Macaca fascicularis: one gene and its partners. The protein of the gene in region 5 purifies or fractionates together with the protein of the main gene of each other region. This does not show direct contact. Links are inferred from orthologs where the notes say so. Each region holds a gene or a part of one and is shown on either strand. Other genes may lie near its edges. The genes, in order: PABPC4, G3BP2, PATL1, DCP1B, DDX6, ATXN2L and LSM12.

Region 1 (3,997 bases), on a different chromosome or scaffold from region 5:
CATGAGGGGATTTAGACAGGGTCAGAGCAGTGGAATCTGCTCCTTGCCTCAAGGCAACATCTCACTTAAGGGGGGGGACAAAATTCCCCAACTCTGACGCTCCACAAGCTCAACTGTTTCTTTAACCAGGAGAATTTATTTTCACTCATTATTTCCAACAAACTTCCCCACCCCCTTCAGAAGGTGGGCTCATCTGTATGGGGGGCAGTTGGGAAAAGGGGAGATGACAAGACAGATCCAAGTCAGGAACAGTCCAGGAAAGGAGGAGTTTGCTTGTGATGGCGATCAGAGATAGATAGCTGGGATCGCAAACTATTTCATTAATTAGCAGTAAAGGAGCCCATTTCAACACAGCTCCTCGTCTATTTCCAGACAGCACTGCACAAGGCAAGCCGGCTTAGTCTGACAAATCTGGCTGCACTTATTTATAGCAGGGAGAAGTCCTGCAGAAGTATGTGTTGGCAGACACACTGACCAATGGCTTCTGCTATCTCTAAGTGACATGACTTTTGTTCAAAAGTCAAGAAGGCAGACAACAGCTAATGTGGTACATTATCCCTTAAAAAGACCACACTCAGCTACCTTCTTTGCGCTCCTATAGCCATAGACAGAACTCAGCTTGGAGCATACTGGGTTGACGGTAGCAATACCTAGTTCCTCTTAACATGTCCAATTCTCTGGTCTCAGCTGCAACCTGGGCAAGTAGTAACTCTGGGCCTCAGACAGAAAACAAAGTGGGGACCTCAAAACTAGCGACCTGGAGATCCTTTGCCATAGCATGGCTTGTTTCTCCCAGTAATGATCTCTGCAGTTGTTCCCTTCTAATCTGGAGTCACGTGCAGCCTCTGATCAGATTTCCTTTGGCCTCACTCCTGCCACGCCTGCAACATACCTCTCTCCATGCTAAGGCCACAATCTGAGGTGGCAGAGCACTGTGCTGGGAGTCCCAACTTGGTTTCCAACTTTTTGCATTCCTTTTCCTTCTCAGGAGTCCCATTTTCTTCAGATTAAATGAAGTAAAAGGGCTCTGATGAGTGCAAACCACTGTTACAGCTGAGGTGACAAATGCCACCAGATTTTCAAGTGACGCTTCCCCAAACTACCTCCACAACACTCTTTACAGCACAGAGCCTGGATACCATTTGTCCAGCGCAAAGCACTTCTCCACTCCAGTGGCAAACACACAGACTAAGGAGCTGGCCTGGCACACGCAGCTCCTGTGGCACTAACCTAAATCTCTGCTAGTTTAACGCACAGAAACCTTCCCCCTGCTTCCTGCCTGCCCTGACCCATCCTTTATCAGCACAACATCAGATAGTCAAGGTTAGTAAAGGTGGCAGAGCGGGCAGGAACTCTACAATGTAGAACTTTTGCGGGAATTGTGTTTCAAACGTCCCTCCTTTTTGGCCAGCCTGTGAAGGGCACAAGCAAGGGTCTGTAACAGCCCAGCCCCACTGACAAGGACCACACACAGTGGAATGCCAGTGGCTTCACTCTAATCCTGTTTTACAGTTTCCTTGGTTTCCAACCCTACTACCAGCAACACCAGTAAGTAGCCCAAGGTCACCCAGTTAGCAAGTGGTAGAAACAAGATTGAAACTCGAGTCATCTGATGCCAGGTCTGCGTTCTCAATCTCTGCACCCTGCTCCAAGCTTCGGTGGCAACATGCTGTCGTGATGCTGCCCTCCTTGGCAGGAGGGCCCTGCCAGAAGACGACTCCCGGGGTCCGCCGGGCTCCCACGCACGTGTGGGCACAGCTTCTACTCACCGTCGGCCGGCTGCTGGAAGTTGACGTAGGCATAGCCCAGGGAGCGGCGGGTGATCATATCGCGGCAGACCCGGATGGACAGCACAGGCCCCGCGGGGCTGAACTTTTCGTACAGCATGGCCTCGGTGACGTCCGAGTGCAGGTCGCCCACGTACAGGGAGGCCATGGGGTAGCTGCTGGCCGCAGCGTTCATCTCCCCGCCCCCCACCACCCCGAGCCCCGCCAGGAGGACTTCTTATCGGGCCCGCCGCAGGACAAAAGGGGCGCCCTCAGAGCCCGGGCCCGCGCCGCGGCTCACAGGTGGCACCGGGGCGGCGAGGACGAGCTGGAGTCGGCGGGCTCGGAGATGGGACGGAAACGGGAGGCGGGGGCCGGCTCCCACGGCCGCGGCACCGCAGACAAAAGGCTCTCCGCACAATACGGCCCTCCCCACGACTTTGCACTTCTCCGCGGTCCTGGTGCGAAGCTCCAAATTTCAAAAAATCAAAGTAGGAAAAAAATTAAACGGGGAATCCCCTTCCGAACGGTAAAAATCCTTTAAGAGGCGACCGGACGCTACCCACGGCGGCCCCGGGGACACGCGTTTCTCTATAAATATAGGCCTCGGGCTCCGGCGGTTTAAGATTACAACCGCCGGGGCAGAGGGAAACCAAATCTTTGTGGGCGCCGACTCGGCGAGCCCCGGGCGGGCGGCGAAGGGCAGCGCGGACACGTGGTGCGCCGGGGCCGGCGCGGGGCTCGGGCCCGAGCGTGGGGAGGGCGCGACGGGCCGGGCGGGCGGCTCACCCCCGGACCGATGGACGGAGACCGACGGACGCCAAGCGCGGCGGCGGCGGGCGCGGGGCAGGCCGGAAGCGTGCGAAAGTGACTTCCCCGCGGGTTCTCCGAGGAGGATTCGCTTTTTCTTTTCCTTTTTTTTTTTTTCAGGATTTTGAAGCGTTTTCGGATTTTTTTTTATCTTTTTCTCTTTTTTTCCTCAGGCTGCGGAGCCCGAAAGCGGCGCAGGCGGCAGCGACCCGGGGCGGAGAGAGGCGGCCGAGGGAGCCACCGCTCCATTTATACCCGCCCGCCCCGGGCGCTGCTGGTCGAAGGGCGCCTCGCGACCTGGGCGCAGTCGTGCCCGCCCACTCGGCCCGGGGGCCCGAGGCGGGGCGGCCACGCGAGAGCGACCCGGCGCGGCCGCGCGGCGCCACAGCGACCCCTGGCGCGCGGAGGACCGCCTAAGCTCGCGGTTGCAGGAGACCCCCAGGGCCCCTTTCTATAACCAATGAATCTTAAGACCCTCCTACCCATCACCCGGGAATGGAACCTAGAAGCCATTTAACTTGCACACACGCATGAGGTTTAAAATTAAATGGTATGGGGCCGGGCGCAGTGGCTCACGCCTGTAACCCCAGCACTTTGTGAGGCCGAGGTGGGTGGATCATGACGTTAGGAGATCAAGACCATCCTGGCTAACAAGGTGAAACCCAGTCTCTACTAAAAATGCAAAAAATGAGCCGGGCGTGGTGGCACGCGCCTGTAATCTCAGCTACTCAGGAGGCTGAGGGAGGAGAATCGCTTGAACCCGGGAGGCGGAGCTTGCAGTGAGCCGAGATTGAGCCACGGCACTCCAGCCTGGGCAACAAAGCGAGGCTCCATCTAAAAAAAAAAAAAAAAAATTAGATAGTAAGCCTAATTGTGAAATGAAGGTGACATAAAATAAGTTAAAGTAATAGGTGGTCCAATAGGTAAATGTTTGTGAAGTTTTCAGAATACTGTTGGCCTAGAGGTAGAATCGTCAAGAGCTGGAAATGCAAGCAGTATCCATGGGTGATGGGATTTTCTGAAAAGATGAGCACATTTTGGTAAAGCTTCAATGAAACCAAACACAAGCATCCCTTCTATTGACATGCTGGTGGCATTCCCGGACATTTAGTTTGTATTTAAGGGCCCAGAAATACTTTCTACTCCTATGTTTAAAGTTTCTTATACGCTTGGATAATTATAAAAAGACTTTTCATCTGCATCAGGGTCTGGCAGGTCATTTGAAAGTCATATCACTTGCCAGGCTCAAGCCTGTAATCCTAGCACTTTGGGAGGCCGAGGCAGGTGGATCACCTGAGGTCGGGAGTTCGAGACTAGCCTGACCAACATGAAGAAACCCCTGTAATCCTAGCTGCTCAGGAGGCTGAGGCAGGAGAATCGCTTGAACCGTGGAGGCAGAGGTTGCGGTGAACTGAGATAAT
Region 2 (2,859 bases), on a different chromosome or scaffold from region 5:
TCACTGTGTTCCTCGTGTTATTGGGAGAATCATAAGATTTTATGTGTATATATATACATATACACTAATATGTATAGACTACATAAATGTGATAATTCCTGTTAAAATTTACTGATTTGCTGTAATGTCATACAGCCAAAGAATTTTGAATTTCAAAAGACTAAGCAAATATTTAGTAGAGCTGTACCTCACTGTCTGAAATCTGCTTGGTTCCTGGGTGATGGCAACAGTTTGGTTAAGGAGGAATACCTGTACTGGTATTTGATTTTTGTATAATCCAGTAGATCTAGAAGAAGCTATTTTAGCAACCTAGTCATTGTCCTCACTTTACATTTTAGTGTCATGCTGTTTTCTAACCTACTAGTAATAAGTAGTTTTGCCTCTTTTTCAAGAAGCTCACCAACTCTTATTAAACTAAAACAGGAATATCAATATTGTGATTTTTACATTCATTCTGTTGAAGTAGTTTTTATGATATTGTAAACTTTAATATCTGCTCTATTTCTGTTCTCAGGCAGAGGAGATATGGAACAGAATGACTCTGACAACCGTAGAATAATTCGCTATCCAGATAGTCATCAACTTTTTGTTGGTAACTTGCCACATGATATTGATGAAAATGAACTAAAAGAATTCTTCATGAGTAAGTGATTTATTTTGCTGTAGAAGTTTTTAAATTATTTTAAATTAAGAGGCATATGGAGCTTTTTAAATGACTATTTTAAAAAAATGTTTCTCTGTTTATACTGTGTCCAGCTACCAGACTCACCTTAATTGTGCAGAAGGGAGTAGGCTATCTCAGATGTTTCTCAGTGACTGCTTAGTGTTGATTTCGCCTGGCTCGACAGTGTTTAGAAGAAACAGCTGGATAAATCAGTCATAAATTCAGAGATAAAGAATTCATTTGGCAAACGGGTCAATATATTAGGAGAAAACACATTGTCTTTCCAGAGTTACACAGTTTACGTATGAAAGGACTAACAAAGATGCAGAAAGGTAACACAACAGGCAGGCAGGCTACTTGGTATCTTAGGTGATTGCCTGCTTCAGTAAATGTAGGTTGGCTATCACTGTGTGTAGAAGCTTGCAAGTTTTATTTTAAAATGGATCAGGGAGATTAAGATTATTCATCCTGAACAGTTTGAGCCATCAAGGTATTCTGTTAAAAATATTTAACCCTTGATGTAATGTATATTTTCACAGGTTTTGGAAACGTTGTGGAACTTCGCATCAATACCAAGGGTGTTGGGGGAAAGCTTCCAAATTTTGGTTTTGTGGTTTTTGATGACTCTGAACCAGTTCAGAGAATCTTAATTGCAAAAGTAAGTGATTTAAAGGGCATAATTCAAGACTTTATTATTTTGTTGTATATATTAATTTGGGGTATTTAAAAACCATAGAAAATCTTTTAATAATAAAGCTAAAAATAGTTATTAAATGGTATTTATGCAAAGAATAAAGATTTGTTAGCAGTTTGTGGATCATTTTAAATTTTGTTACTTGCTTTGCTGAAGAAGGTGGGAAAGATTGCATGTTAAGAATTTTGGCTGGGTATAGTGACTCACACTTGTAATCCCAGCACTTTGGGAGGTTAAGGCAGGAGGATTGCTTGAGCTTAGGAGAGTTCAAGACCAGCCTGGGCAACAGTGAGACATTGTCTTTTTTTTTTTTTTTTTGAGATGGAGTCTCGCTCTGCCGCCCAGGCTGGAGTGCAATGGCCGGATCTCAGCTCACTGCAAGCTCCGCCTCCCGGGTTCACGCCATTCTCCTGCCTCAGCCTCCCGAGTAGTTGGGACTACAGGCGCCCGCCACCTCGCCCGGCTAATTTTTTGTATTTTTAGTAGAGACGGGGTTTCACCGTGTTAGCCAGGATGGTCTCGATCTCCTGACCTCGTGATCCGCCCGTCTCGGCCTCCCAAAGTGCTGGGATTACAGGCTTGAGCCACCGCGCCCGGCCAAGACATTGTCTTTACAAAAAAAGAAAAATAGTCGGCCATGGTGGTGGACACCTATAATCCCAGCTACTCAGGAGGCTGAGGTGGGAGGATCACTTGAGCCCGGGATGTCAAGGCTGCAGTGAGCCATGCTTGTGCCACTGGCTGTCACCAGCCTGGGTGACAGCTGAGACCCTGTCTCTGGGGGCAGGGGGCTTATAAAAGTGTTTTGTTCCTTATGCTTATCTAACTTACCTGTTCAGAGTAATACATTTCTACTGCTGTCTAACCTGCCCGTGTAAATATTTTTCTCCTCTTTTATAAAGCCAATTATGTTTCGAGGGGAAGTACGTTTAAATGTTGAAGAGAAAAAAACAAGAGCTGCAAGAGAGCGAGAAACCAGAGGTGGTGGTGATGATCGCAGGGATATTAGGCGCAATGATCGAGGTCCTGGTGGTCCACGTGGAATTGTGGGTGGTGGAATGATGCGTGATCGTGATGGAAGAGGACCTCCTCCAAGGGGTGGCATGGCACAGAAACTTGGCTCTGGAAGAGGAACCGGGCAAATGGAAGGCCGCTTCACAGGACAGCGTCGCTGAAGCTCCACTGTTGGCAAAGTCTTGGCAGTGGTACATTATTCATCGTGTTTGCATTCTTGTTAATTTTTTTTTTGGCTTTGGAATGTGACACAGCCTTTTTGATCATTTCTTTGATGTGAAAAGCATCTTTTGGTTATCAGTTAAATTGAGGTGGACATTATTTCCCCAATTTCACAACAGGATTCACATTGTTAATTTATAAATCTAGACTTGGAGAATTAAGGACTGAGAAATGACCATATCTTAAACTATCTACGACAAAGTGAACTTAAAAGGACATGCCCACTGAATTCAGGTCCTTTGAGTCAAAAAAAAATCTTCTGCTG
Region 3 (3,500 bases), about 100 Mb from region 5:
TTATCACAATAAAAAATCTAAAGTATTTCCCCCTTATTTTAGGGGTACTGAAAATTAGAATACATTTAAAAAATCATGAAATCTCAAGTAGAAAAGGACCTGAAAAGGCACATGTCAACGCGTTCAGTCCAGGCTCGAATAAAGGCTGAGTTTTGCATTTATTAAGGACAATGGTACTTTAAAATCACTTTGAAACGTCTTTACATATCCGTCCACATATACACTTGTCTATATTTAATCAGCGGCTTCTCAAATTTCTTTTATTATGGGCATTTTTCTTATGAGGACCTTACCTGGCTTATAGGCGTGCTCCAGTTTGGCCACCTGAGGGGTGATAAGCTTGGTGCGTTCCTTCTTAGGGCCATCACCTTGTATTTCTTCAGCAGCTGACAGTTTCTCCAGTTTTTCAAAGTAATTCTACCATGAGAGGATGATTTCGGTTGTAACATAAGCACAGAACACGACTGTTGTTTACCATCAAATAATTTATGCCAGTGACAGTAACACAAGTTCAGTTCTAGAAATGTACTGATAGTGAGTAGTGCAAGAGGCTAAGTATCTCAAAAGAAAATTTTACAAATATTTAATTGTACCAATATTTAAATGAATACCCTTACCAGTGTAGGGGACCAAACTATTATCCTCAAAACTAGCACAGAGTATTTACCTGGTAATAAAAATCATCCAGGTAGGGATCAGTGCTTTGCAGTTGCATCATCTGGATTTTGGAGACCCAATCCTTTTCCCGCTGCAACATGAGATTGGCATATGGATCCTTTCGGAGATGATCTTGATGACTGCTCCGGTGACTTCCTCTATCTCCTGCACCATTGAGATTCCGATGCTGACTGAAAAACATACACCACATTCACTCCAAGTGGGCAAATTAATTACGCTTTTTAACACAGAGGAATAAATGAGGCCAGTTTTTTTTTTTTTTTTTTTTAAAGATTCCCCTTGCTTTTCTTAAAAGGGGAGTGAAAAAGAACTAAGTTTTAATAGAATTTAAGAGGAAAGAGCTATGTAATAAATAATCAAGAAATAAAACTAAGATCTGAGTACCTTTCCATATGCTAAGCATATTCACCTATGGACTTTTGTATAAGCTCTAGAATAACTCTGTGAGGTAGGTAGTTTTCTCTTCCCCACTTAAGACAACAAACCGACGCCAAAGAGAGATCAAGTAACTTGTCCAAAGCCATACATCTAGTGGTGGACTAAGGGATTTTGACACAGGCGATTTAGCTCTGAAGTATACATAAATATTTTAAACTCATTAAAAATCACGAAATATTTCAAATTCAGAGAAAAAGCCCAGCAAATACTATAATAAATATCCATTTACCCATCACCTAGACCTAATAGAAAAAAATGTATTTGGTTGAATTTGCTTCAAATATTTTAAAGTAATATTAAAATAACACAGTGTTACACTGACAGAGGCCCTGTTGTACCCCTCTAGACCCAGTTTCCAGCTTCTCTTCCTTCATAGAGGAACCACTATCATGCCTTGGTATGTATCCTCCCTGAAATGTTTTTGTACGTTTATTACTTGTGTGTCTGTGTTTAAATATTACACAGTATTATTCTGTGTGCCTTTTAGTTTTACATAAATGGTACATGTAATTCCGTTCCTTGCTTCTTTACTCAATATTATGCTTTTCATATTTACATGTTGATAATACATTCAGGTTTACGGATACGAAGTAAACTTACAAAAAAAACAAACAACTAAATAGCATGTTGTTACACTGTCAAAATTAAAAGCTGAATTAAGAAGCCATAAAGGAGTTGGATGAGTACTTACTTTCTATTCTGTTGCTGTCTCTGATACAAGAGTCGACGGTGCTGTGGATGAAGGTGAGTTGTGTCCGGTCTAAACACTGGGGCCTGAGATCTAAGAAAAATGGAACAGAGGTTCTCAGTTTGGTCATCCTGATGATTTGAAATTTTAAAGAATGTTGTCAGTACAGGATAACTTCATACAGGTTAACTTAAGGGACTACAAAAGTCTATTCGGGCTGGGTGCAGTGTGTAATCCCAGCACTTTGGGAGGCCAAGGCGGGTGGAACACTTGAGGTCAGGAGCTCGAGACCAGCCTGGCCAACATGGTGAAACCCTGTCTTTATTAAAAATACAAAAATTAGCTGGGTGTGGTAGCAGGCGCCTGCAGTTCCAGCTACTTGGAAGGCTGAGGCAGTAGAATCGCTTGAGCCTAGGTGGCAGAGTTTGCAGTGAGCCGATATCGTGTGGGTCACTGCACTCCAGCCTGGGAGGCAGAGTGAGACTCTGTCTCAAAAAAATAAAAAAATAAAAAAGTCCATTCTAAGGAGACCTTTTAGAAGCAAAAGATAGTCATATTTTTACATATCTTCCACAAAGACCAAGTTCTAAAAGGGTGATCATGAAATCTGAGTGAATTAGGAGTAAAGCAGTATAATTCTTTTTCTTTTTGCTTTTAACTGTTTAACAGAAGTCTCTAAGTAGGTTTAACATACTCAGTTTCAACTATGTGGGAATATTATTAAAGATATATGTGTGATAGTTAATATGACTAGGCCTTAGTACCCAGTTATTTGGTCAAACACTGCTTAGATGTTGCTGTGAGGGTATTTTGTAAAGATGTGATTAACATTTATAACAAACTAAAGTTTCCCAGAAGAAGGAATTCTGCCTCAAGAGTGGAACACAGAAATCCTGCTTGAGTGTCTTGACTGCTGACCTGCTATACTTATTTCAAACTCAAGACTGCAACTTGAGCTTTTAAAAACTGTTTCTTGCCTGCTGGTCTGTCTTACGGATTTCGAACTTGTCAGTCTCTACAATCACATGAGCCGATTTCTTAAAATAAAACTTGCTCACATGAACATTCTTGCTCTCTTTCCTCTACTGGTTCTCGGGTGTCTCTTGAAAATCCTGACTGCCACAATACGATATGTAATAAAACACAACTTCACCGAAACAGGAACTTGAACCCCTTTTGTTATAAAACCAGAGGATAAAAGCAAACAACTTAGCTAGTGTGAAGATTAGCTGACTTTTCAGCATCTGTTGCTCTATTCCATACCTTCTGGTAATGTGAGAAAAATGTGATTCACAAGAAAGCCTGGAGATTGTCAAACATTTCCATGTTTGTCAACCTGAGGATCCAATAACATCTTAAAATTTATTAGTTAGCAAATATCAAGAGACTTATAAAACTACACATCCACAATCAAGAGACTTGGCTGATAATTGATAAATAGTGGCATTGATTTTGTATACCTTAGGTTTTGCAGGTGGGGTCCTGGGCCAGGAGGGTGCTGCTGTGGAGGTGGTGTAGCGGAGGGTGGAGCACTAAAGAAGGCACGGAAGCCTGGTGCTGGGGGAAGCATCTGCCCAACTCGCCCTTGTAGCAACTTGGGATTCATGGCAGCAAGTGGACTACCAACAAATCCAGGCACCCGTGCAAACTGGCTGGGAGACATCCGTCCAGGCTGTAGCTACAAAGAGGAAGATCT
Region 4 (4,155 bases), on a different chromosome or scaffold from region 5:
GTTACATTAAAAATCCATTAGTCCACCTTGTCCTGGAATGGATCTTTTGCCTGTGCATGATTATGTAGCATGAGACATCAGTCATTTGGAAAATACTGGACCACTGAGTTAAGCAGATCTCTGAGATACTGACACTTTCCATTACACAAGATTTGTTAAAATTGCACTCATTAATATCATCATTGATCTCATCAGAAAAAAAAACGTTAAATATTGAGACGTTGTCAAGCTCATGGCAGCAGATACACATTTTCTAAACTTTTCATTCTGGCTTGAAGGCTTAAAAATTATCATTGGCAGCAGTAATTGTCCCTTGTTTTCCTGAAAGTGACAGGCACACTTTATTTATTTTCAGGAAAATGTCTGTCAAGTACCTGTTTGAATAATCATAGTTTGCCCATCTTTCTTTCAAGTAAAATGTTTTATGAAAATAAAAAAAAAAACATGAATTCGGCCCACAACTCAAGCACAGAAGTATTTTCCTAGAGACAAGCATGACACACTTCATTTTGTAGCAGACGTGCTTTATGCCTATTTCCTATTTTTTTCATGCAGAATACTAAAAAGAATGGTACCCAAGGATTAAGCTTCAATAAAATTTATAATTTTTACTGCTTATCAAGAACACCATCAGGTGACACTGGCTCTCTAGCTTTTTTTTTTTTTTTTAACTGAGAATGCAGGTTAGTGACACGTGCGTACTTTCACTAGCAATACAGTTTGGTGTCCCTGCCATGATTGGGTTAAGCCACCAGCACTTTTAACCACCATTGTCTGCAAATCCTCACCACAGTGAACAAGTCAAATAAGTAAGTCTTAGCATTGTCATCAAAAATTTTTTTTTTTTTGACCTTGCAGATCCCCTGAAAGGGTCTCAGAAACTCCCAAGGGGTTCCAGGACCACACCACACTTTGAGAACCACTGGGTGTTAGCGCATTCAGAAATCAATTCAGTTCTCTTTCTCTTCAGAGTTCTTGATGCTCGAGGCTTATTTATTGTGATAGGTCTGATCACTGAAGCGCCAAAGAAAAGATATGCCAAGGCGTCGAACACATCCAAGAAGGAAGTCCTACCGCGCACACAGCTCAAAGGCTCGAGCGTGAAGAAAAACAGCTCTTGGAGAAAGAAACGGGATGCAGAGGGCAGGCCTGGGCTTGTCGTTGCCAGTGGCAACGATCCTCAGTGGGCGGAGCGCGGCCATCGATTAGTGAGGCCTTGCGTCAGTCGGCGGGCGGGAGGGTGTGGGTGACTGGAGCCGGAAAAGGCCTCCCGGGCCTTGTGGTCGCGGTGGGTTCTTGGTAGCGAAGCAGCTCGCTCGTTCTGCGATCTATTGAGAGTGGCTTCCAAGAGCCCCGTGCCTATGTCGGGGAGGGAGGGAAGATGGCAGCCGTGGCGGCAGGCGGCCTGGTGGGGAAGGGGCGCGACATCAGCCTAGCGGCCCTGCAGCGCCACGACCCCTATATCAACCGCATCGTGGACGTGGCCAGCCAGGTGGCTCTGTACACCTTCGGCCATCGGGCCAACGAGTGGGTGCGTGCGGACGCGGCGGAGCAGTGCAGAGCAGGGTTGGGGTGGAGGCGGGGGGCGTCAGACTCAGGACAGGAGGACCCGGTGAGGGGGAGGAGACGTTGAAGCCCTGGAGGTGGGTGGATCTGGGGCCTGAGGCCGAAGTTGTGGAGATGCGCTCCCGGGGGTTTGGGGGAAGGGAGGCGGATCTGTGGAGCTACCTGGAGTTGGGGAAAAGACTTAAATCTCTAACGTACCCAACGCTGGGAGACCAGACCGATCGGGTACCGCACCCTGAGAGCCGAAGGAAAGGAAGGACCTGATGCCTTAAGGTCGGAAGACCGATGTGCTCGAGACAGTAAAGCAGAGTTCTGTTACAGTGAATCTGTGGCTATGGGGGAGGCAGGGACAGCAGATGAATAAAAGTGCAGAGTTCTGATTTTGGAATGTCAGTCTTAGATGGGACAAAGAGAAATCAAAACTTGATAGAAGGGGAGAAATCTGCAAGTTGTAAACTAGGGAAACGCCAAGAAAAGAGCCAACCTCGTCAAATAAAAGACAAAATGGGGCAGGGTCCAACACTTAGAAGGAGGCTGATGCTCTTGGGAGGATTATTATACGACAGCCCACCAAGTTTGATATTGGAGGCCATTTGGGAGCCAGATTATTTTAGTGCTCTTCTCAAAGCAGAGTCTCAATAAATGGTAATGGAATGAAATTTCATTGTCCTCACAGTTAGAATGGGGTAGAAGCCTAGAACACTGGAATCCTGTTGCAGGAATTGCTGCTTGTAATTTTGTAACCCACCCACTCGAATGTAGAGAGATGTAATTTTATTTCTTTCCTCATAATGATTTTTGTCCAAATAATATTCATCATCCATTATATATTGCCCATTAAATATCACATATATGATATCCATCATTTTAAAATAAGTTACAAAACAGTATGGAGAACTTAGCCTTGATGAATGGATTTCAGATAAACTTTTTGTGTTCTTCAAGTCGGTTGTATAAACACCAGAACTTAAGCAAGGAAAACATCCATGTTGAACAACTCTGTTTTTTTTTAACACCCACATTCATAAACCTACTTATCTCCAGTGTAGTTCAGCAGCCTGTAGTAAAAACTCACCTGAAAATCATTAACATAAAAATAAAAAAGCAAGCAAGAATGGGATAGACAAACAGTTTTGCCCAAAGTTCTTAACAGAGGAAATTTACAGGAATGGGGCAAAGAATTTAGGTCTGCGCTCCTAGTAGCCAAACTCAAAAGGAGAACAGGAAGAGCTCTTTAATATTCATTCTTCTGTAATAGAAAGCCTACCACTTAATCAGGAGAAAGGTTATTTCCCCCTAGTTTCCAGGGGCATTTGTCACCTAGGTCTTTACATAAAGAACATTGAGCAACATAGTAGACAGTTTCCTCCATGGTAATTAAAAGTATATATGAAGATATTCTACATAAGGCTGTTTTGCTGCTGTGTAGAAAAATGCCAAAGGCATAATGTTATAATCCTGTAAAAGTTAATTCCATAGTAGAGAGATGAGGACCAGAGATGTATAGTTGTGTAAATTGACTTGACACTGGGATTCGAGTCTGGAGCATCCTGAGAAACTATTAATATAAAGAAAGTAGAGCATTTCTCTTGAATAATAGTTGTTTCCTGTAGGCTTTTGACCGTTATCTATGTGATAGATACCTTTTAAGATAGTTACAGATGTTTATTAGATACCTAAAGCCTCATCAAAAAGCAGATGTGTCACAATGCATTATTTACAGGAGTTATGTTTTCCTGCTTGCTGGACATGTTGCCTTCAGACAGGGTATAATTCACTCAGGAAAAGGTCATTCTTTCAAAGTTCTAATATTCAAGGCTGTCGTAGCCAGAAAAACAAAGAGAGAGACCTAGTTCAGCTGCAGAGCAGTTGCTGGAGGCAAACAAATTATGACCACTGTCTCCATGTGCTGTCACTCTGGGTGGGAGCCATTTGAATGTAAACCTAATAAGAATATGAGAACATTCTTGAGAAGAGAGGAGAAAGTATTTACAAGAAGGCAGGGAAGATGTTAAAGAGGGGAATTCTTATTGCCCTGAAAATGGATGAAGAATGACTTCAGCCTTTCAGAGGAGGAGAAATTAGGAAGGAAAGGTGTATAGAAAATGAACTGCTTTAAAGAAGGATTAAGAAAGATTATGTCATGACTGGAATAGGAATTTTAGAGTTAGATCTACTCCCTGTTGTCAGGAAAGATGCCCCCCTCCAAAATATTAATACCTGTGTGTCAATTGAAGACCATAGCCCTGGTATTTTCCAGCTGTCAGTTCTTAGACCAGTGGCTCCCAGCTGGAGTTGATTTTGCCCCCAGGTGACATTTGGCAGCGTCTGGAGACGTTTTTGGCTGTCGCACTGAAGGGAAGAGTGTTAGGACATCTGCAGAATAGAGGCCAGGTGAGCTGAGCCTGAAAACTGCCCTACAGTGACTGAGGTTGTGTTCCGAGCTAGTGGTTTTCTAAGTTTTTGGTGTAGCCAATTAACTCACAGTTTTTTTAAAGTGAAAAATGCCAAACTAAAACCTCTGGATAATGAGACCCAGGCATTTGAGATTGTTGAAAGCTTCATAGGTGACGCCGATGCTACATGCAT
Region 5 (4,187 bases):
CAAGGTGCAAGGCTATTTCCTTACATGAGCAGGTATTTTAAAAGCTGGGCAGGAGACGCCATACTGTAAATTTAAAATTTAAAAAAAATTTAAGGCGAACCTTCTTTTTAACCTTAAGAATAGTCTTCACTATTCTCCGCCACCTTCCCACTGGCTGTGTAGAAATAACGACCACCAGATGAGAACAGGCTATTTACTCAGAGCTGGCAAGGGAGTCAGCCGAGACCCATCACTTGGTTTGGTAGACTCATAGGCAGGCAGGGGAGTGGAAAAGCTTTACATACAGTGAAAAAAGTGAGAAACTTCAGGCTGGCTCTGATTGGAGGCTCCCGGCACCGGGAAGTTGGAGGAGGGCTAATTAGAAGCAGGGCTTCTTATGTGATTGGTGTGAGGAGCACATTTGGCTTTCTCTGATTGGCCCAGAGCTGGAAGCAGGGGCAAGAAATAGGGAAGCGGCCAGCTAAAGATCAAGTCCTGACCATTCTGGGCAGATTACTGCAGAGGTCATGGGTAGGAGGTCATGGATAGGTTTGGCCATTCTTTGTATACTCAAGTCTCTCAATTGGGCGAGACCCAGATATTGTTTCGCTTGACCTAGTTAGCTTTTAACTCCAAAGTTTTGTTTAACTTGGAAGAAGACAGCAGTTCTATTATTTCTGTCAAGGATAAACAGAGACATTGGGATCTGAAAAGTAATTATGGAAAGATAAATAAATATCTTTATAGTGAGGGTCAGCCAGGAGGAATCACCCTCTGCCTTCAGGTTCTCCATTTCCTTACTGAATTCCTACTTCCATTATAACGGACGATTCAGTAGCTTCCCTCCCTTTGGGGGAGGGCCCGGCCTCCTCCGCTCCCACTTTCTTGAGTTCTTGAGTCTTGCCCTTCGACGGCAGGAGAAGAGGGTTGCGCCCTACCAACTCCTCACTTTACAGTCCAGCTTCTCCCCCCACCACTCCGGTGAGCTACCCCTGCTCCATGCGTTCCGGAGTAATCCCCCTCAGTCGCACTCTCACAGCCCGGCCCCTGCCCCCGCCTCATCCCCAGCTGTGCCTTCACCTCCCGGTTGCTCCCCAACAGGTCCCCCAAGATACGCCCTCACAGTGCGGTCCCCCGCCGTCCTCTCCCGGCGCACGCTCAAGCCCGGTGCCTTCCCCCCGCGGCCCCCCGAGGCGCACCCTCAAGCTCGGTGCCTTTGCCCCACCCAGCCCCACAGGGGCGCCCTCAAGCCTAGTACACTTCACATGAGAGCCCCTGGGGCGCACCCTCAAGCTCGGTGTACCCCCCCATACAACCCGCAGGCGCGCCCTCTTGCCTGGAGCCTTCCCCCGCCCAGGCACACCCTCAAGCCCGGTGCCTGCCCCCACCCCCAACCAGCCCCCCAGGCGCACTTTCAAGCCCGGAGCCTTCCCCTAGCCAGGCGCGCCCTACTGGCCCGCCCTGCCCCTCCGCGAAGCGCCCCCCGCGCGCTCCCTGGAGTCCTCCCTCCTGCCTGTCGCGGCCTCCAGGCCCGGTCGGCCCCCCTTCCGGCCCCCACACTCAGACGCGTGCCCCGCGTCTCCGGGCCGCTAGTCCCGCGCCTTCCTGGATGGACGCGGCCCCTTACGCCCGGCATCAGCCTCCCCGGCTAGCACGAGAAGTCAGGTCAGCTTCCTGTCCCCGAGCAGCTGCCCGGGGGCCAGTTTTCAAAACATAGCCTTAGACATGTAATAAAGAGATGCTCCTCTGGTCTCAACTCCCTATTTTTACTTTGGAGGGGCGAAGGCAGGGCTACCCTTGCCAGCCACCATTCCCCAATCACTTCGCAGCTGTGGAAAAGCAGCCGTCCTGTCCCTTCAGAAAGGAACTCATATTTCCCCCTCGAACTTTTCTCGTCGGTGTGAGAGAAGGGCCCTCCATTTTCTCCTCAGGAGGCTTTTGCGGCCCGGCTTCCTCTCACCACCAGGCCGGGAAGGCAGTGACGCCGCCGCGGATGTAGCCGCGGCGGCCGAGGTTTCGCCATCTTGAGTGGAGGAGGAGCCGCGGTCGCCGCCATGCGGAGAGGCAGGGAAAGAGGGAGGAGGCGGCGGGCAGGCGAACGGGCGAGCGAGGGAGGGGACAGAGGAGCCGAGTTAGCTCAGCCCGGCGGCGACTTCGGCGGCGCCACGAGAGCGGGCAGCGGAGGAGGTAGGGCTGGACGGCCGGGGGAGCCGGCGGCGCGGGCGGCTGGGCTGCGCGCCCCTCGGAGCCGGGTGGGGGCGGGGGCGGGAGGAGGCCGTAGCGAGGGGGCCGAGTGGGGGCGGGCGGAGGTTTCCGAGGAGGAAGGAGCGGCCGCCATTTTGGGAGCTTCGAGTCAACAATAAAGGACCGAGGGTGCCGAGCGGGAGTGGCCTCCTTGGTAGGACACGGGCCCGAGCCGCGAGGCCTGGGGTGAGGTGGTGGGGTCGAGGTCAGCGGCGCTGTGGGGGCTGCGGGGAGTCTCCCGGGCCGGCTCTGGGGGACTCTCTTGGGCGGAGGCCTAAGGCCTGGCCGGGCCTGGGGAGGAAGGCGGGCGGCAGCTGTGTGGGGTGGGGGCGCCTGAGAGGAGGCGAATATAGGAATGTGGTGCGCGGCAGGGTCGGCAGGAGGAGCAGGCTAAGTACTCGGAGGAGCTTTATCGAAGATGAGGGAATATGAGGCCGAAGGGGGCGGCAAGGACTTAGGGGGATGATGGTGGAGGTTATAGGGTACGAGGCGGCCCTATAGGGGGCGGCAGGGACATGCTGTATTGGAAGGCTCGGTTTAGAAGCGAACTGACCGCTGCTTGATTGCGGTAGGCCTTGCAGGTCAATAACAAGAGGGTGTATATGGAGCCCCAGACTCTTGGAGGAAAGGAGGGGGATTTCTGGGTTGGGGGGTCCCTTTGGGGCCTTCTTGGGGGAGTCCCTATTGTTTGCTACTGATGGAGCTGGTTGCCGGTTCATATTGCGCAGATAGGATTGCAGAGCCCCAACCTTTTGTGTTTATGGTCAGAGGGAGCTGACTTGACGTGTGTGTGTTTGGGGCGAGGGGCAGCAGGGGGGAGGGCAAGAAATTTCCCTACAATTGTGGGGCTCCAGTCATTGACTTGTCTCTTTCCCTTATCTCTTTCTTTTCCCTTCCACAGCCCCCCTTTCCCTTCAGAATAAAACCCAGTCACTCCAACTTGCAGGCAAAGCTTAGAAAAACTGCGCTGCATTTGCAAACAAAAGCTCTTGTTGGCGATGACGATACTGTTTTGGGTGTGAAACTGTCAATTGCTAACTATGATCTGAGAAGTGCTGTAATTAACTCCGCTAGGGGCTCCTCCCAACTAGTCTACGTTTCTAGTCTGTTTCTCGTTTTTTTGTGTTTTGTTTTGTTTTGTTTTGAAAATGTAGAAAGATAACTTGAAAATATAAATTGGGAAGGAATAGGAGGAATATTTCCTTCTCTGAGACAAAGCTGCAGTGCAGGTTTCAGTTTAAGGGAGCAGTTATCACATAGTCTCATTTTGGATTTAAGGATATAGGAGGTCTTACTGTGCATGATGGACAGTAATGATGATATCGTTCGGTCTTTAGAGGTTGCCCTTTTCATCCTCTTAGTGCTCTGCAAACAGCTAAGTCTCTGTGTGAACTGCGTGATGTCGCTGATCATAATATAAACCCGTCAATACAGGAAAGTAGCTGTTAACCATATCTGCTTAAGATGTCAGAAGGACTTTAAAGTAAACAACTTTGTGTATGTGATAATCAGGATTTGCTTGTGAGCAACTTGTTCTTTTTTTTTTTTTTTTTAAGGAAGGCATAATCAAGGAGCATTTTCTCATAAATTTTGAGATCTGTTGACTTTAAAATTTTGAGTTTCACATGCCTTGGTGTATGGCAGAAAGAATCAGCACTTGTAAGCTGTGTATTTTATGTAAGAAATGTGACGGGGTTGCTGGGTGCGGTGGCTCACGCATGTAATCCCAGCACCTTGGGAGGCCAACCAAGGCAGGCGGATCAGCTGAGGTCAGGAGTTCGATACTAGCCTGGCCAACATGGCAAAACCCTGTCTCTCCTAAATATACAAAAAATTTAGCTGCGCGTGGTGGCGGGCGCCTGTAATCCCAGCTACTCTGGAAGCTGAGACAGGAGAATCGCTTGAACGCAGTAGGCGGCGGTTGCAGTGAGCCGAGATAGTGCCACTTCACTCCAACCTGCGTG
Region 6 (3,500 bases), on a different chromosome or scaffold from region 5:
GTTCTTTTACTGTGCAAGGAGAGGGAAATGCCTAAAAATCCTTCTGTCCAGAACCACAAATCACACTAAATATGCATTAATGGCACTCAAACACCTAGCTCTTACCATCTGTGGGGGCCAGGGAGATCTTTGGAGAAGCTGGGGAAATGGAGCCCACTCCAGGATCTGAGACTGATGAGGTCACAGGGATGGAGGCTGAAGAGGTTGGCACTGCCGAGCCGATGGGAGGCTCAGGACAGGAAGCTGAGATTGGGGCAGGGGCAGCAGACTTGGGAGAACGCGGGGGATATATCCGGCCCACTGGAAGAAAAGGGGGAGCTGTAGGACGGTTACTGCTAGTCAACAGCAGTGAATACAAGGGCCTTACTCAAAACAGCAAGAAAGTTTACACACTATACAACCAGAGTCACCAACTTAAGTGTCTAGAAGGCCAAGGCAGGTAACACAACCAGGTAAATGGCCTCATGGGCATCATCGGTGACTGGAATGCTTAAAGGGGTGGCTGGGATTCTGTCCCAGTCAACCTGAGCTATGCAGCAAGGCAAGCTCAGTTGGCAGAACTTCCTGTAATCCAAAAGAAACTAAAATTTTCTATGGCTTCTACTGTTTTATTTATGTAGAGACAGGGTATCGCTCTGTTCCCCAGACTGGAGTACAATGGTATGATGCCATCTCACTGCAACCTCAGCCTCCTGGGCTCAAGCGATTCCCCGCCCCCAGCCTCTCAAGTAGCTGGGAGCACAGGTGCACGCCATCAGGCCTAGCTAATCAATCTTTTTATTTTTTGCAGAAGGGTTTTGCCATGTTGCCCAGGCTGGTCTTGAACTCCTGGGCTCAAGCAATCTGCCTGCCTCAGACTGTTTTAAAAGTTAGCAACTGGCAGGATGTGGTGGCTCATGCCTGTAATCCCAGCACTCTGGGAGGTGCGGTGGGCGGATATTGAGATCAGGAGTTCAAGATCAGCCTGGCCAACATAGTAAAACCCCGCTTCTACTAAACATACAAAAAATTTAGCCAGGCGTGGTGGTGGGCGCCTGTAATCCCAGCTACTCGGGAGGCTGAGGCAGGAGAATCGCTTGAATCCGGGAGGTGGAGGTTGCGGTGAACCAAGATGACGTCACTGCACTCCAGCCCAGGTGACAGTGCGAGACTCCGTCTCAAAAAACAAACAAACCAAAAGAAACCCCAGAAAAGTTAGCAACTGATTCAAATCTAAACAAAGGATGTCTGCCAAACAGACACAACCTATGAATTGCCAGGTTGAGATTTCTGCACTAGGGAAATTAAAGAACTATTTCCCAATATGACTAAATCCCAAACGCCCAAAATATCTATCTTAAAATTATCTCCCATTCCAGCATTTGTAACAACTGGACATATTTATATCTCTTTACAAATTTCCATCCATTTCTTCATCCAACACTACTAAAGCTTTACCTGCAGGAGGAGGTGGAACAGAAGTTTCTCCAGAAGGCCTATTACTGGGTGAAGACAGAGTCTTGGCACCTCTCAGAGGCCGCTGTGCCTTTGGGGACATGCGGGAAGGGCCTGTTTTTTTTTTTTTTTTAAGATGAAGAAAACGTCAGAGGAGGCAGATGACCTATTATATTCCCACCGATGCAGTGTCATTCCAACCCATCCAAACCCCTCCAGTTACCCTCCTACCTCCTCGGCATCCCCTTCCCTGCCCTGCCCCTCAAAGTCACCTCATAACTCACCTCCATTGATACCACGGGCCTCAGAACCTGGGCCAGGACTGCTATTGTCCAGATGGTGAGGGCCACGAGGTGGCAAAGAGCTAAGGCCAGGCCGACCGCCCCGAGAGCTGCTGCATCGAACTCCTCCCCGGGGACCTTCTCGGACTCGCTGAGGCAGAGGGATATACTTCCCCTCCCTGAGGAAAGAGTTCAAATAAGGCCAGGTAGCCACGAAACTCACGTTTTCTTCTTCTTCTAAAGTCTCTCCCTTCTGCCCCCAAACACACATACACTGCCTGGCTCCAGCACTATTCCACTTGAAGATCTGCCCCAGTTTAATGTTCTATGGCTACAGACTTATGACCTTATGTGACATCAACTCTGAGCCAACCAACCTGGCCAATGCTCCACAATTCTACAACTCCTGACCTATGACAAAGTTAGGATCACACCATAGTTTCAAGGACAGTTTTTGTAAAACACAAGGAATCCAGTTACATTTCACTTTTATAAGAAAAAATAGCACATATATAAAAATGAATACAGAGAAAAAGAGAACGTAAACCAAAATTTTGAAACTTTAAACCACAGCACCCATCAATTCTGGGCCCAGGCCCCAGGACACTCCCAGAAGCCCCAAATAGTCCTGGCTGTTCACGACAGTCACCTGGATGCCAAGCTGGGGCTCTCCCGACCCGAACCCTGCCGCTGGACCGCACTGTGCTTCTCCTCTTCAGTGCGCCCATCATCGTTCTCCATGGCGATCCGCAGGCGGTACTGGGGGCTTGATTCAATCTCTCGAGCCAACTGGGCTGCACGCAGCTCTCGCTGACGAAATTCTTCTGAGTTGTCCTTTTCTAAGGGCACCCTGAGACAGCACCCACAGACCACCACCATCCCAGTGCCAGGGGACAAAAGAGGAAAAAAGAAAAAACACTTCAACAACTCCAATCACCAGTTCAGGCATGTAAGTATTTAATCCTTTCTTTTTTTTTTTTTTGAGACAAGTGTCTCGCTCTGTCGCCCAGGCTAGAGTGCAGTGGCACGATCTCGGCTCACTGCAAGCTCTGACTCCCGGGTTCACGCCATTTTCCTGCCTCAGCCTCCCGAGTAGCTGGGACTATAGGCGCCCGCCACCACACCTGGCTAATTTTTTTGTCTTTTTAGTAGAGACGGGTTTTCACCATGTTAGCCAGGATGGTCTCGATCTCCTGACCTCGTGATTCACCCGCCTTGGCCTCCCAAAGTGCTGGGATTACAAGCATGAGCCACCACGCCCGGCCAGTATTTAATCCTTTCAACTCAACATCTGGGTAACGGGCACCGACTGCGTCCCAGGTAGAGCACCAGTCCTAGGTAGAGCACCAAGGCTTATCTGGGAATGTCAGGAGCACTTACGTGCTTAAAACCTTTGAGGGAGGCTGGGTGTGGTAGCTCACGCCTGTAATCCCAGCACTCTGGGAGGCCGAGGTGGGCGAATCACTAGGTAAGATCAAGACCATCCTGGCTAACACGGTGAAACCCCGTCTCTACTACAAATACAAAAAAATCAGCCAGGTGTGGTGGCAGGCGCCTGTAGTCCCAGCTACTCAGGAGGCTGAGGCAGGAGAATGGAGTGAACCTGGGAGGCGGAGCTTGCAGTGAGCCGAGACTGCGCCACTGCACTTCAGCATGGGCTACACAGCGAGACTCCATCTCAAAAACAAAACAAAACAAAACAAAACAAAACCTTTGAGGGAATAGTTCCACAAGGTAGAGTAAGTAGGAGCAGGGACGGTGACCCTGGACACCCAGAGAAAAAGG
Region 7 (4,203 bases), on a different chromosome or scaffold from region 5:
GTTCAGGTTAAGCTGCGCCAGGACTGGTCCTTTGCCTCCCTCTGGACTACAGAAAGGTCAACCTGTTTCTCATACATGAAGCGAGGATCCAAAATTTCTATAGTGGGGGTGGGTGGATTAGCGACAGCAATTGGTAGGGCTTGAAAATACATGCACATAGTCCTTTACATAAGATTAAGAAAATGACTGTTTTGTATATCAGATGGACATTAAAGGGCAGGGGTGCAAAACCCCTCCTCCAAGTTCCTCTTTGTCACTATCTGCTGCTCCTCATTCCTGCCTTTTGCCTGGCTTTCTGGGGGAGAGGGCAAAAAGGAAGAAGAGGAAGTGTCTTGACTTCTAAGAATAATGGATGACTAAAGGGGAACTACCATTTATTAAAGACCTAGTACATGCCATGCACATATACACGTTATCGCATTTAAACCTCCTAACTATGAGGTAGGTATTATTATCTAACACAGTATAGCAGTAAATAGCACTGTCCTTGTAAATAGGTAGACTGTTTTTGCTAGTTGTGGAACCGTGGACAAGTTTAGTCTAAAACATAGTTTCTGTAAAAGGAGGACATTGATACCTACCTCAAAGGGCTGTTAGATGCTCAAGAAGTGACAATACAAATGCCTATGAAGAAACAGGATCAGGTAATTTGCTTACTCAAGGTCAGGTGATTTAGTAATAGGTTGACCTGGGATTCTGGTTCCGGCTTATCTCACTCCACAGCCAATGTTCTTTCCACTATCACTCTCTAGTTACAATCATCTTTTTTTTTTTTTTTTTGAGACGGAGTCTTGCTCTATTGCACAGGCTGGAGTGCAGTGGCACGATCTCGGCCCAGTGCAACCTCCGCCTCCCACGTTCGAGCGATCCTCCAGCCTCAGTCCTCCTAGTAGCTGGGATTACAGGCACGCGCCACCATACCCGGCTAATTTTTGTATTTTTAGTAGAGACAGGGTTTCACCATCTTGGCCAGGCTGATCTCGAACTCCCGACCTCAGGTGGTCCACCTGCCTCGGCCTCCCAAAGTGCTGGTATTACAGGCGTGAGCCACCGCTCCTGGCCGTTATAATCATCTTGTCCAAGTATTGTTAAGTCCTCTGAGGCTCTGATTCCTTATATGCAAAATGGGGTTAATATATTTTATAAAATTCATTCATTAAACTCTTGTGTGGAAGGTGTGCATATAATGGAGACTGCAGCTCTCTCCTCTTTCCCCCTTTCATTCCACGTAGGTCATTTATCCTTAACTTCTAAAATGGACTCTACAAGCATTTAACCGAGCGGACGCAGCTACACAAATATCTTTCAGATTCCCCTTTATTTCCTCGTCTTCCCTAGTCCACCTAGGTTCCCTAGCCACCCAGCGTCAGACCACGCCCCGGCGTGTGACGCAAGCACGCTCCGTGCGTCGCGTCGCGTCGCGGCGCTCACTAGGGGCCCGGCTTTCGCCCGCTGCTGCCGCCGCCGCCGCCGGCCGCGGCTGCACTCCCAAGATGGCGGCTCCTCCGGGCGAGTACTTCAGCGTTGGGAGCCAGGTGTCGTGCCGGACGTGCCAGGAGCAGCGGCTGCAGGGCGAGGTGGTAGCCTTCGACTACCAATCCAAAATGCTGGCTTTAAGTATCCTTCCCTGCGTGAAGCCCGAGTCCGGGCCGGCGTATAGGTGCGGTGGTCGGGGGGTGGGGGACGACGGCGGCGGCTGGGGCTCTCTCCGGGCCTAGGGGCGACCGGCTACCGCGGCGCCCGGGGCGCATGCGCATGGCCCTGAGTTCCCCTCCCCCTCCCGCGGGCCCTTCGGTCAGCTTTGGGGATCCTGTCTCCCCTTGCGGGAGCTGGGGCTTTACCGAGGATCAGTGGGTGGAGGAGGGCTTGACACGGGGATGGCTTTTCGGGAAGAACGTTATGAGAGGGGACACAGTGATTAGGAGAGGGGGTGGTGTTGGGAGGGGGCTGGTGGATTGGAGCCCGGATGGAAAGGAGGGGCGGGTGAAATATTATGGGGAGGGATGTTTAGGGTAAGGAACTGCTGATAGGGCAAAGGTATAGAATTTAGGAGGGCATGTGCACTGATGGGATTTCGTCCAAGGAAGGGCGGTGGGATGGTGACCAAATTGGTCCTTGCCTGTTTTGGGGGAGAGTAAGTGCAGGGCAGAGTTTGTATCTGAACTGGGGATAGTGGCTTGTTTCGCTGATGCGTGTGTATGTGTGGTGGTGGGGGGGCTGTTCTGACTTTTAGGCTTCTCGGTCATTTGGAAATCGCTGTTTGGGGGATGTTTGCATTGGAAACCTGTTCCAGAGAGGGCTTGCCGGGGCTTATGTGGGTTGGGGATGTGTGAGTTACAGGTGAAAGAGTGAAGTTCTCATGCTGCCTTGATCAGTCCAGCACATGGAGTCCTTTTACGTAGTAGTAGCAGCCTCCCTTTTGAAAGCAGCAATGTTAAATTGATTGGAAAAGGTGGCCTGCTTCTTTGGGGTGGGAATGACTTCTGAATTACTCCAGGAAACTCAGTCTTGGAAACGAAACGCTTCTTGTTGGGATAAATGTGCCACAGCTTCCCCTTTTATGGGAGCTACAGGTGGGTTTATTGGAATCTTGAAGGAGTAATTTTTTATGGTATCTTTTTTTTTTTTTTTTAAAGATGGAGTCTCGCTCTGTTCCTAGGCTGGAGTGCGGTGACGTGATCTTGGCTCACTGCAGCCTCCGACTCCCTGGTTCAAGCGATTCTCCTGCCTCAGCCTCCGGAGTAGCTGGGATTATAGGCACGCGCCACCACGCCCAGCTAATTTTTGTATCTTTTTTTTTTAACAGAGACGGAGTATCACCATGTTGGGCAGGATGGTTTCGAACTCCTGACCTCGTGATCTGCCCGCCTCGGCCTCCCAAAGTGCTGGAATTACAGGCCTGAGACACCGCCCGGCTTTGTTTTTTTTTTTTTTTTTTTTGTTTGAGACGGAGTTTCACTCCTGTTGCCCAGGCTGGAGTGCAGTGGCTTGATTTGGGCTCACTGCAACTTCCGCCTCCCAGGTTCAAGCGATTCTCCTGCTTCAGACTCCCTAGTAGCTGGGATTACAGGCATGCATCACCACACCCGGCTGATTTTGTATTTTTTTTTTTTAGTAGAGACGGGGTTTCTCCATGTTAGTCAGGCTGGTCTCAGACTGCTGACCTCAGGTGATCTGCCTGCCTTGACCTCCCAGATTGCTGGGATTACAGACGTGAGCCACCGTGCCCGGCCATGGCATCTTTCAAAATGAAGTTTCCTACTGAGTCTGCTGCCTTTGAGTGGCAAGTATTTTAATTCATTTAACCACTGCTTGTAGATTTCTAGTTTAGGAAGATGTCCTTTGAAACTAATTATAGTAAGAGTAGTTGCTTTTTTTTTTTTTTTTTTTTGAGACAGAGTCTTGCTCTGTTGCCCAGGCTGGAGTGGTGCAGTGGTGGGTGGTGCGATCTTGGCTCGCTGCAAACTCCGCCTCCCAGGTTCGTGCCATTCTCCTGCCCCAGCCTCCTGAGTAGCTGGGACTACAGGCACCCGCCACGACGCCCAGCTAATTTTTTGTATTTTTAGTAGAGACAGGGTTTCACTGTGTTAGTCTGGATGGTCTCGATGTCCTGACCTCGTGATCCGCCCGCCTCGGCCTGCCAAAGTACTGGTATTACAGGCGTGAGCCACCGTGCTAACAATAGTTGCTTTTTCAAAAAATGAGAGGTTACACCTGGAAGAAATAAGACCTTTTACATTAGTGGTTTGGTTGGAAGGGTCTTGAAACTAGGAAATACCCTTTTTTTTTTTTTTTTTGGGGGGATGGAGTCTCACTCTGTCACCTAGGCTGGAGTGCAGTGGCATGATCTCAGCTCACTGCAACCTCTGGCTCCTGTGTTCAAGTGATTCTCCTGCCTCAGGCTCCAGAGTAGCCAGGATTACAGGCATGTGCCACCACACCCGGCTAACTTTTTTTTAGTAATGACGGGATTTCGCCATGTTGGCCAGGCTGGTCTCGAACTCCTGACCTCATGTGATTCGCCTGCCTCAGCCTCCCAAAGTGCTGGGATTACAGGCGTGAGCCATTGCGCCTGGCTGAATTACTCAATTTTTAGTTGACATACAGTGGGCTCTTAAATGTTTGGAGAATGAATGTGTGAATGAATGAATGGATTAACTGGCTGGATCACCTTGGGTGAATTTCCTTTCCAGTGTGTAGTTT

The links.
Region 1: the proteins of DDX6 (region 5) and PABPC4 purify together in Homo sapiens (affinity purification with mass spectrometry; 3 studies listed by BioGRID and IntAct, with this or other methods). This does not show direct contact. The link is inferred for Macaca fascicularis from reciprocal best matches to the Homo sapiens genes DDX6 and PABPC4.
Region 2: the proteins of DDX6 (region 5) and G3BP2 purify together in Homo sapiens (affinity purification with mass spectrometry; 3 studies listed by BioGRID and IntAct, with this or other methods). This does not show direct contact. The link is inferred for Macaca fascicularis from reciprocal best matches to the Homo sapiens genes DDX6 and G3BP2.
Region 3: the proteins of DDX6 (region 5) and PATL1 purify together in Homo sapiens (affinity purification with mass spectrometry; 6 studies listed by BioGRID and IntAct, with this or other methods). This does not show direct contact. The link is inferred for Macaca fascicularis from reciprocal best matches to the Homo sapiens genes DDX6 and PATL1.
Region 4: the proteins of DDX6 (region 5) and DCP1B purify together in Homo sapiens (affinity purification with mass spectrometry; 6 studies listed by BioGRID and IntAct, counting the BioPlex papers as one, with this or other methods). This does not show direct contact. The link is inferred for Macaca fascicularis from reciprocal best matches to the Homo sapiens genes DDX6 and DCP1B.
Region 6: the proteins of DDX6 (region 5) and ATXN2L purify together in Homo sapiens (affinity purification with mass spectrometry; 6 studies listed by BioGRID and IntAct, with this or other methods). This does not show direct contact. The link is inferred for Macaca fascicularis from reciprocal best matches to the Homo sapiens genes DDX6 and ATXN2L.
Region 7: the proteins of DDX6 (region 5) and LSM12 purify together in Homo sapiens (affinity purification with mass spectrometry; 5 studies listed by BioGRID and IntAct, with this or other methods). This does not show direct contact. The link is inferred for Macaca fascicularis from reciprocal best matches to the Homo sapiens genes DDX6 and LSM12.

What each region holds. Positions count from the first base shown.
Region 1 is NC_088375.1:195,330,754-195,334,750, reverse strand, and holds the start of PABPC4 (polyadenylate-binding protein 4), read right to left. Parts: upstream 2,801-3,997; 5' UTR 1,963-2,800; coding exon 1,770-1,962; intron 1-1,769.
Region 2 is NC_088379.1:58,233,092-58,235,950, forward strand, and holds part of G3BP2 (ras GTPase-activating protein-binding protein 2), read left to right. Parts: intron 1-514; coding exon 515-643; intron 644-1,203; coding exon 1,204-1,322; intron 1,323-2,260; coding exon 2,261-2,533; 3' UTR 2,534-2,859.
Region 3 is NC_088388.1:14,377,503-14,381,002, reverse strand, and holds part of PATL1 (protein PAT1 homolog 1), read right to left. Parts: intron 3,483-3,500; coding exon 3,265-3,482; intron 1,898-3,264; coding exon 1,808-1,897; intron 849-1,807; coding exon 668-848; intron 418-667; coding exon 294-417; intron 1-293. UniProt on the Homo sapiens protein: RNA-binding protein involved in deadenylation-dependent decapping of mRNAs, leading to the degradation of mRNAs. Acts as a scaffold protein that connects deadenylation and decapping machinery.
Region 4 is NC_088385.1:2,850,892-2,855,046, reverse strand, and holds the start of DCP1B (mRNA-decapping enzyme 1B), read left to right. Parts: upstream 1-1,355; 5' UTR 1,356-1,381; coding exon 1,382-1,531; exon of another isoform or gene 1,532-1,643; intron 1,644-4,155. UniProt on the Homo sapiens protein: May play a role in the degradation of mRNAs, both in normal mRNA turnover and in nonsense-mediated mRNA decay. May remove the 7-methyl guanine cap structure from mRNA molecules, yielding a 5'-phosphorylated mRNA fragment and 7m-GDP.
Region 5 is NC_088388.1:117,654,560-117,658,746, reverse strand, and holds the start of DDX6 (probable ATP-dependent RNA helicase DDX6), read left to right. Parts: upstream 1-1,387; 5' UTR 1,388-1,644; intron 1,645-2,099; exon of another isoform or gene 2,100-2,166; intron 2,167-2,574; exon of another isoform or gene 2,575-2,791; intron 2,792-4,187.
Region 6 is NC_088394.1:27,641,933-27,645,432, forward strand, and holds part of ATXN2L (ataxin-2-like protein), read right to left. Parts: intron 2,566-3,500; coding exon 2,365-2,565; intron 1,895-2,364; coding exon 1,719-1,894; intron 1,549-1,718; coding exon 1,438-1,548; intron 319-1,437; coding exon 106-318; intron 10-105; coding exon 1-9. UniProt on the Homo sapiens protein: Involved in the regulation of stress granule and P-body formation.
Region 7 is NC_088390.1:65,113,234-65,117,436, reverse strand, and holds the start of LSM12 (protein LSM12), read left to right. Parts: upstream 1-1,403; 5' UTR 1,404-1,493; coding exon 1,494-1,617; intron 1,618-4,203. UniProt on the Homo sapiens protein: Nicotinic acid adenine dinucleotide phosphate (NAADP) binding protein. Confers NAADP sensitivity to the two pore channel complex (TPCs) by acting as TPC accessory protein necessary for NAADP-evoked Ca(2+) release.